Linked DNA regions of Stegostoma tigrinum. Each later gene encodes a partner of the first gene's protein in a complex. Links are inferred from orthologs where the notes say so. Each region holds a gene or a part of one and is shown on either strand. Other genes may lie near its edges. The genes, in order: wnk4a and klhl2.

Region 1 (3,915 bases):
CCTGGAACACATTGCCAGCGGAGGTGGTAGAGGTGGGCACACAAATGGGCAGGGAGCAGAGGGATACAGATCCTTAGAAAATAGGAGACAGGTTTAGTTAGAGGATCTGGATCAGCGCAGGCTTGGAGGGCCAAAGAGCCTGGTCCTGTGCTGCAATTTTCTTTGTTCTTTGTTCTTTAGGACAAATACAAAGTATACCACAAGCAGATCCACACACCACAAGAATAAAAGCTTATGCCAATGGTGGCAATTGACAAAACAGAGTGAACTGGGGAAATATCTTTCTTAACCAATGTTCCACCCATGTCAACTAATAACAGAATGCCCTAATCCTCAAGTGTGTAATGTACCAGATTACACAGCTAAGCCAGCAGACACACTGTACAATAAATGCCCCTCCAACTGACAAGTAAGCTTAATTTATAATACTTGTACCAACAAGTAAGTCAGTGTTAAGCTTAGACTAAGCCTATCTTGTCTTTACACTCATTGATTCAGTCCGAGGGTACATTTATTATGCAATTTTTAGAGATACTGCACAAATTCCCTGGTTTGTCAGGATCTAACTTCAGTGTTATATCAATGTAAGTTTAGAAATGCTGATGCAAGATGGATGCAATGTCCCTTGAAACTACGAGCACCTTTCAATCCCTTCAGCAGCTACCTTGATGAATTGTGTGTATGAAAGCGGCTGATGTCTCTAAATTTTATATTTTAATTGCTGAGAGAGGAGCAATGTTACAGGTACTGTATTGTCACATCAGTTTTTTTTGACAAACTCATGAATAACTGCATTCCTGACTTCATGATATACTTTTAAAATCTGTCCTAGGACAAAGGCCTAGGCTGAGATAGCAGAGCAGAGCATAAAAATAAGTTGCTGCAACCAACCACAGAGAAAATTAACATTAGACATCCTCCTGCAAGACAGTCAGGCATGAGATATTGGGTCTGGATCAGTTGAGGTCATTTACCTTGGAGTCAGGTGGTTTGTGGGTTCAAGCCCATATAATTGGAATTTAAAAAGCTGATTCTTCAACACAACGTGGAGGGTACAAAACAGAAACTGCTGTAAAGCTCAGCAGCTGCGGAGTTTCTCCAGCATTTTCTGATTTTGTTCCTGATTTACAGCATCTGCAGCCTTTTATCATAAAATCCCTACAGTTTGGAAACAGGCTGTTCAGCCCAACAAATCCACACTGACACTCAGAGCATCCCATCCAGACCCATCCCCCTATAACCCACACATCCCTGAACACTATGGGCAATTTAGCATGGCCGATCCACCTAGCCTGCACATCTTTGAACTGTGGGAGGAAACCAGAGCACCCGGAGGAAACCCACGTAGACACCGGGAGAATGTGCAAACTCCATGCAGACAGTTATCCGAGTGTGGAATCAAACCCGGGTCGCTGGTGCTGTGAAGCTGCAGTGCTAACCACTGAGCCACTGTGCCACCCCAAAAGCCTATTGCACCTGATATTCCCATGCAGTCTCCCATCCAAGTACTAATCACGCCACAGCTTCCAAAATCAGGCATTTTCAGACTAGTGTGACCGTAGGCTTTGAATGAGACTTGAAACCTCTGCAGTAAATGGATAACGCCCCTGAAAATCTGGCCAATATTTACACTTCGAATCACAGAAAAAGCCAACATTGCTGCTGCTTGGGGCTTGCTGTGAGGAACTGGCTGCAGCGTTCCCTACGTTGTTGCGGTGACTATGCTTTGACAAAAAAAAACACTTTACAAGTTGTGGAAGTTTCTTGAACAGTATTTAAGCTTTCCTGAGTGACACAATATCCCTGGGTCTTACAGCCTGGGATGTGACGGGCCCGGCGGACTCTGCATCGTTTTACCTGTAACTCGCACCAGGCGACCTCCACCGTGGTCTCGGTATCCAGCCCCTTGTAGACCGTCTTGAAGGAACCTCTTCCCAGCTCGATGTTGAACTTGAGGAACCTGCCGTCGGGGGAGGTGTCGACCGCTTTCATCTCCACCTCGTTCTCCTCCGGTTCCATCTTACTCTCCTCGGGCAGCTCGGAAACCGAGTCCTTGTGAGGAAAGCGGCGGCTGCCATCCTCCGTGTCCGAGCTGTTCGCGACCACCGCCGCCGCAGCAGCAGCAGCAGCAGCTTGGAGCGGCGAGGGCGCCAGGCGAGCCGGCGGGGCGCCGGCAGTGGGTCCGCCCGCCTTTAGCGGCCCGTTCTCAGCGGGCGGCGGGGGCTGGCTATCCGGGACTGGCACCAGGGTTCGGGAAGGGCGACGGACAAGCAGACCGTCAGCTCCCAGCTCGACGTCGACGGAGAGTTTCCTCTGGTACCGGGACGGGATCCTCCTGCCGTCTCTGGCAGGCATTCTCCGCCGCCGGCTCTGCGCTTTACTGAGGTGGGAGGAACGATCCAAATCCAGATCCAGGGTCGAGGTAATGAGCCCGAATCTAGCCAGGTCCACCTCCGCCTGGGACATCGTCCTGGACATGCTTCAACCACCTCCAACAAACTTCGCTCGAACCCCAAGGGAAAGCCCTTGAGGAAAGACTCGCTGACACGGTCTCAAGAAAAGCACAACATTCAACCACAAACATCATCGTGTTTCATGTTGCACCAGCCGCTCCTCGGAAAACATTTGCCTCCTCACTACTTTTATTCTTTCGTTTGCCTGCCCCTTTCAGTCTGTTAGACACTCCCCCCCCATCAGCAATAGAAAGTAACTTAGAGAGGGAAATGAAAAGGGGCTCTACTTTGAATTGACAAGTGCTTAGAGACAGCAGTAATTCCGCTAACGCCTGATATTGCTCTCAGACCGTCCCCGCACCGCCCATTGGCTCAGGGCAGACTGTCGCTAATTTGGATGGGGGCGTGTTGAAACCGGGGTGGGGGTAATGTTCAGTGTTTATTTACTTGGTTCTCCAAATTGCAGGGGGGAAACGAAAGGTAATTTTACTTTCTTTCTCTCTCTCTCTCTCTCTCTGAACCATCCCTTTAAATTCCTACTGTTTTCACACGTGCTGAAAGATCAGTACACAAAGTGCGGAGGGAGTGAAAAGCGTCCTTTAAAGCTGGGCGCGCTCAGAATTTTTTTTCAAAAGGCACTCGGCCAGAAAGAGGCACTGTGTGAAGCAGCAGGATCTGAATGGACAAAGTTCTCCTTTATCGGGCGCAACATTCACTCAGTTCCAGTCACGTCCTCCAGCCGGGCCAGAGGCTCCAGCATGAGAAGCAGAGCTGCTATCAACTCACAACACAGATCGGGGGGGTGCGGTTTGAAGTGTACATATTCTTCCCTTGAGGTTGGGGGGGTTGCTGTTGGATGGCGGATGACGGTATGACGTTACTGGAAGTAAGATCAGGCTGCTTATCACTGATAGAGCATGATCCAGATGGTCTTTATTGTGAGCTCCATGGAGCAGGCTTTGATATTTCAACCAACCTGTTATGACACCGAGATAGTAGGAACTGCAGATGCTGGAGAATCTGAGATAACAAGGTGTAGAGCTGGATGAACACAGCAGGCCAAGGAGCATCCGAGGAGCAGGAAGGCTGAAGTTTTGGGCCTTCACCCTTCTTCAGAGCAGGAGAGAACTCTAACCTGGGCCCCTGGCTCAGAGGTACACACACCACCACTGCACCATTAGTGACTTAAACTGAATAAGATAGTGGATAGTGAGTTTCGAGAAGATTTGTAACTCAGGATGAGTTTCTGGATGTGAGTTTGCTCGCTGAGCTGGAAACTAACCTTCCAGCTCAGCGAGCAAACTCACATCCAGAACATAGTGGATCTCAATAAACACTGTTTTCCAGTCTAAGTGGGAATGTTTATAGCAGAGCAAGTTTTATGACTAACCTACAAAGTGATGTGATTACAGACCTCTGGAGCAGAAAAAAACAGACCTCCTGGCCCAGAGGTTGGGACACT
Region 2 (3,915 bases), on another chromosome or scaffold:
ATACTCCCCATTTGTCTGGATGGGTGAAGATCCATAAAACTCAAAAACCTTGGCACAATCCAGCCCATCCACCACTTTCAACTTTCACAAGAAACAGGTCATCTGGCCCCTTGAGTCTGCTCCACCTGCCTTAAAACATGCAACAACGTAGCCTCAACTGCCTCACTGGACAGGGAATTTCACAGATTCACAACCCTCTGGAAGTCCGTCACCCTCTTTACTATTATTGCAGAGTGGCTGCAGCATGTTCCATCAATGCAGAGCAGCACAACACCCAGACCCCTTTAAGAGCACCTTCCAAACATAAATTCAACCCAGGTAGAAGGGCAAGGGCAGCAGATAAATAGGACCACAACCACCCTGCTAGATCCACCACCCCCGCCCATCCCGATTCAAAACTATATCATCCAGTCCAGTTGCTGGATCGAAAACCTAGTACTCACTTTTTATTCTTAAACCCAAAAATTTGATTAATGGGGGGGGGGGGGGAAGGAGAAGGGGAGGAGGGCACTTCCTTTCCAAAAGCACCTTGGGTGGCCCTACACCGAGGGCTGCTAACACCACTGCCTTTCCAGGGTAATTACAGATCAGGATCCATTTCTTTTATTTGTTCAGGGGATGTCTGGTTGATTTCACTGCTCCAGAAAAACTGAAATAAAATACATTCTTCCAAACAAGCTTCGCAGAATTGTTCTGGAGGAAGGGTCACTGGACCCGAAATTCACAGGCGCTGCCAGACCTGCCGAGCTTTTCCAGCAATTTCTGTTTTAGTTCCTGTGTTTGCAGAATTGTTTCAGACTTCAACGCAACATACCTCTGTCAGAATATTTCATGCAATTGCCCTCACAAAATTAATATGTTCAGACTTGTATTTGTTACAGGCCTCCAATTTACACCTTTGAGGCAGGTTACGGAGGCCCAATCCATTCGAGTTCCAACAATTGGAACAAGGGATGGTGGCAATATGCAAGTGGAGTAATCATCACTCAGCATATACATACATCTACAACCAGGATCAATGCACAGAAATGAAAGAAAAACGAGCCTATGCAGTTTTGCTTCTGTCTAACCAAAAATCACTAAAAAATGACCTGTAGAATTATACCCAAATTGTAAGATTAGTTAACTAGATCTAGAAGTCACACTGCAGGCATTAATGATATACAACACAATATCGTTCATTCACCCACAGAATCAGTCATGGTACCATTATCTGGTTCAGTTGACAGGAAGAAAAGAAAATCAGGCTATAAAACAAATAATCTATAAATTTATCTTTAACACATACCCAAGAAAGGAAAATATAGGCAGCATTTAAAAAAATACACGTAACACAGATATGTTTACAAAGATAATATTAAAAACTGCAATGTCAAATCTAGCATTGACAGTAGGAATTAGGGAAGATCGCATGCTTCAGAATTAGACAGATATGCTTCTTGTCCCTTAATTCGTCACCTCAATTGTTTCCACTAGTTCAGGTGTTATATTGTTCCAGTGTTACTTTCCCTTTACAATTCAAAATCAATAGTACAACTAAAGCATATGCCCACCATTGTGCCATACTGAAATTGAGAATGGATGCTCTGAATGCAGAAGCATTAAAATTTAACACACTAAACAGTGAAATTTTAGTATCAATGCCACAATACATAACTGTCATTTACACAGTTGCTACTGTAAGAGGTGCACTGATCTTCTCCAAAAATATACATTTTCTTGAGTGTTCGTTCTTTATTGTACTCGTGAAACAATTTTACAGCTCGTCCCCCCTGAAATAAAACATAGCTCAACACAATTTCCTACATTTAATACATCTTTCAACCAAAAAAAAAGTGCAACTATATATGCATCAGAATATTCACTACAGAAACAGCTACCGGACATCATGGGCAGGTGCTCAAATCTCTGACCAACGCCCCCCCCAAAAAAAAAACTAAATTATAACACCAACAGACTTATAACTCTTTGACACTTCCCAATTTTCACTTATTTCTACCCTTTTGCATAGAGTTAAATTGCGGCATTGCTAAAATGCTGAAACAACCGCATTGCTATTTGCTATCAAAAACTCCAGCTTGTGCTTCCCTCGACCCCACTTCAGTTCTCCTGGCATTTGTAAAGTCGCTTCTCCACAAATGTGAGCGGGGAGGCTCCAAGCATGACCCAGACCCTCCCTCTCCCCACCCCCGCCCCCGCCCCCGCCCTAAGCCGGGTTGTCCCTCCTGGCCGGAGTTTCCCCCAGCCCTGCCCTGCCCCTGGCTGTGATTGGAGCTAACAGACTCACATTTGCTGTATCTCCATTGTGTCCTCCGCCTGTTGCCGACTGCGCTGAGTGAGCTCGGCGCGCTGCACCATTCCACTCAGAGGCGCGTGGGATGCTTCCCCGTGCTCCGCGCGCGTTCCATTGTCTGTGCTGTTGCCCGGGCGGTCACTGAGGCAGCCGCTGCTCCGACTGTCTCAGCCTGACCCTTAGGGGAAACCAGGGAGGCGGCGCCTGCAAACCATCTCCTCCTCCAATACCCCACAATGCTCCTCTCCTCACCTCCTCCTTCCACCCTCCCCCACTCCCCGAAAGCTTCCAGTTGCCTCCCAATTCCAACTTTTTTTATTCCGCTTCGACTGTCAAAAGTGATATTCTCCAGGTATTGCCGTACCAGGAGCTCCCTCTGGGTTGGAGGACCTGGAAGAAGCAGCCCTAATATGGGAATTGTAGAGGACTGTATGGCATTGTATCCAGAGCCTGCCTCCAGGTTACCTTTGGCAGTGAATGCTGAACTGCGCTTCATATTTAAAACCATGTACTTTAGAACAAACTGCAGGATTTCTGTACTGAAATTACGTGATTCTGCCAGATTTTCTTTTTAAAAATGCATACAGCAATTGCACATCTAAAGTGAAACCAAAACCGCTCGGCATTGTATTCAATTTGTGCAGCATAAGGTTTCGCCCAAAGCACTTTTTTCGTCACTGGGTTGTTGCTGTACGCCGACACTGTTTCCGTAGCAACTATTTTATTGATTCTGTTGACAACAATAACTTGCATTTCTATAGTGCTATTAGAAGAAGTATACTGAAGAAGTATCAATATCTTAGAGGCTTCTAGGGCCATTGGGGTTTCACAGATAAGGGCTAAAGTTACCATGAAGGTGCTGCGTCCCAACCTTGTCTGAGGCATTGTGATCTTTTTAGTGAATATAAGGAGGTCATTAAGATAGTTCTCATAGAATATGAGTTCCCTGATTGGGGCTGTTAATCTGGTCCAATCAGGGAGCCCTGGCTGAAAAATATAACCAGGAGTGTCAGACGTCCTGTTCATTCTGAGGTCTAGTTCTGAGTGTCAAGTACTCTCCACGTGTGAATGAAGAGTGACTTGGTGACGGGACACTGGCCTCTGTGAAGTTATTTCAGTGGCAACAAGAGAAAAAGAAGTGCACCTGAAGAAATTTGTTCACAACATTCATCTTTGATTTGGGATATGCATTTCTGGCATCATGGCATTATGTGGAAAGTTTGACTTGTCGATCCTGCTGTCAAAGACTGAGACCAGTATGTGGAAAGAATGCATTATTTTTTCTGGGAAAATGACATTGAGGCAGGTAAAAAGCAATGAGAAATTCAGCTGACAGCTTCAGAATCTGCAGCTTTATTGTGGATGTGAGTTTGCTCGCTGAGCTGGAAGGTTAGTTTTCAGACGTTTCATCACTTTTTTTTATTTGAAAAAATATACTTTATTCATAGAATGTACAAAAAAAAACATTTATACACCTGCCCAGTCATGCAAGCCGCTCCAGGTTACCCAGGGGCTACGTACACCAACTAAAGGGGAAAAAAAACAAGCAAACAAGAAAAAAAAACAAAGCGAAGAAAATACTCCGGCAGTCGTCTCCCCGCACAGTCCCCGTTGGCCCCGTG

The links.
Region 2: the proteins of wnk4a (region 1) and klhl2 are in contact, whole or in part, in a crystal structure (PDB 4CHB), measured with the Homo sapiens proteins. The link is inferred for Stegostoma tigrinum from reciprocal best matches to the Homo sapiens genes WNK4 and KLHL2. Residues at the interface, in NP_115763.2 of Homo sapiens: Glu557, Pro558, Glu559, Glu560, Pro561, Glu562, Ala563, Asp564, Gln565; in NP_009177.3 of Homo sapiens: Arg345, Phe361, Gly363, Ser364, Leu365, Arg366, Thr392, Phe408, Gly410, Ser411, Thr412, Gly413, Ser438, Ser439, Tyr455, Ser487, His504, Arg534, Tyr583.

Annotation. Positions count from the first base shown.
Region 1 is NC_081384.1:15,201,711-15,205,625, reverse strand, and holds the start of wnk4a (serine/threonine-protein kinase WNK4), read right to left. Parts: upstream 2,980-3,915; 5' UTR 2,479-2,979; coding exon 1,858-2,478; intron 1-1,857. UniProt on the Homo sapiens protein: Serine/threonine-protein kinase component of the WNK4-SPAK/OSR1 kinase cascade, which acts as a key regulator of ion transport in the distal nephron and blood pressure.
Region 2 is NC_081354.1:56,998,928-57,002,842, reverse strand, and holds the start of klhl2 (kelch-like protein 2), read right to left. Parts: upstream 2,523-3,915; 5' UTR 2,359-2,522; coding exon 2,288-2,358; intron 1-2,287. UniProt on the Homo sapiens protein: Substrate-specific adapter of a BCR (BTB-CUL3-RBX1) E3 ubiquitin ligase complex that mediates the ubiquitination of target proteins, such as NPTXR, WNK1, WNK3 and WNK4, leading most often to their proteasomal degradation.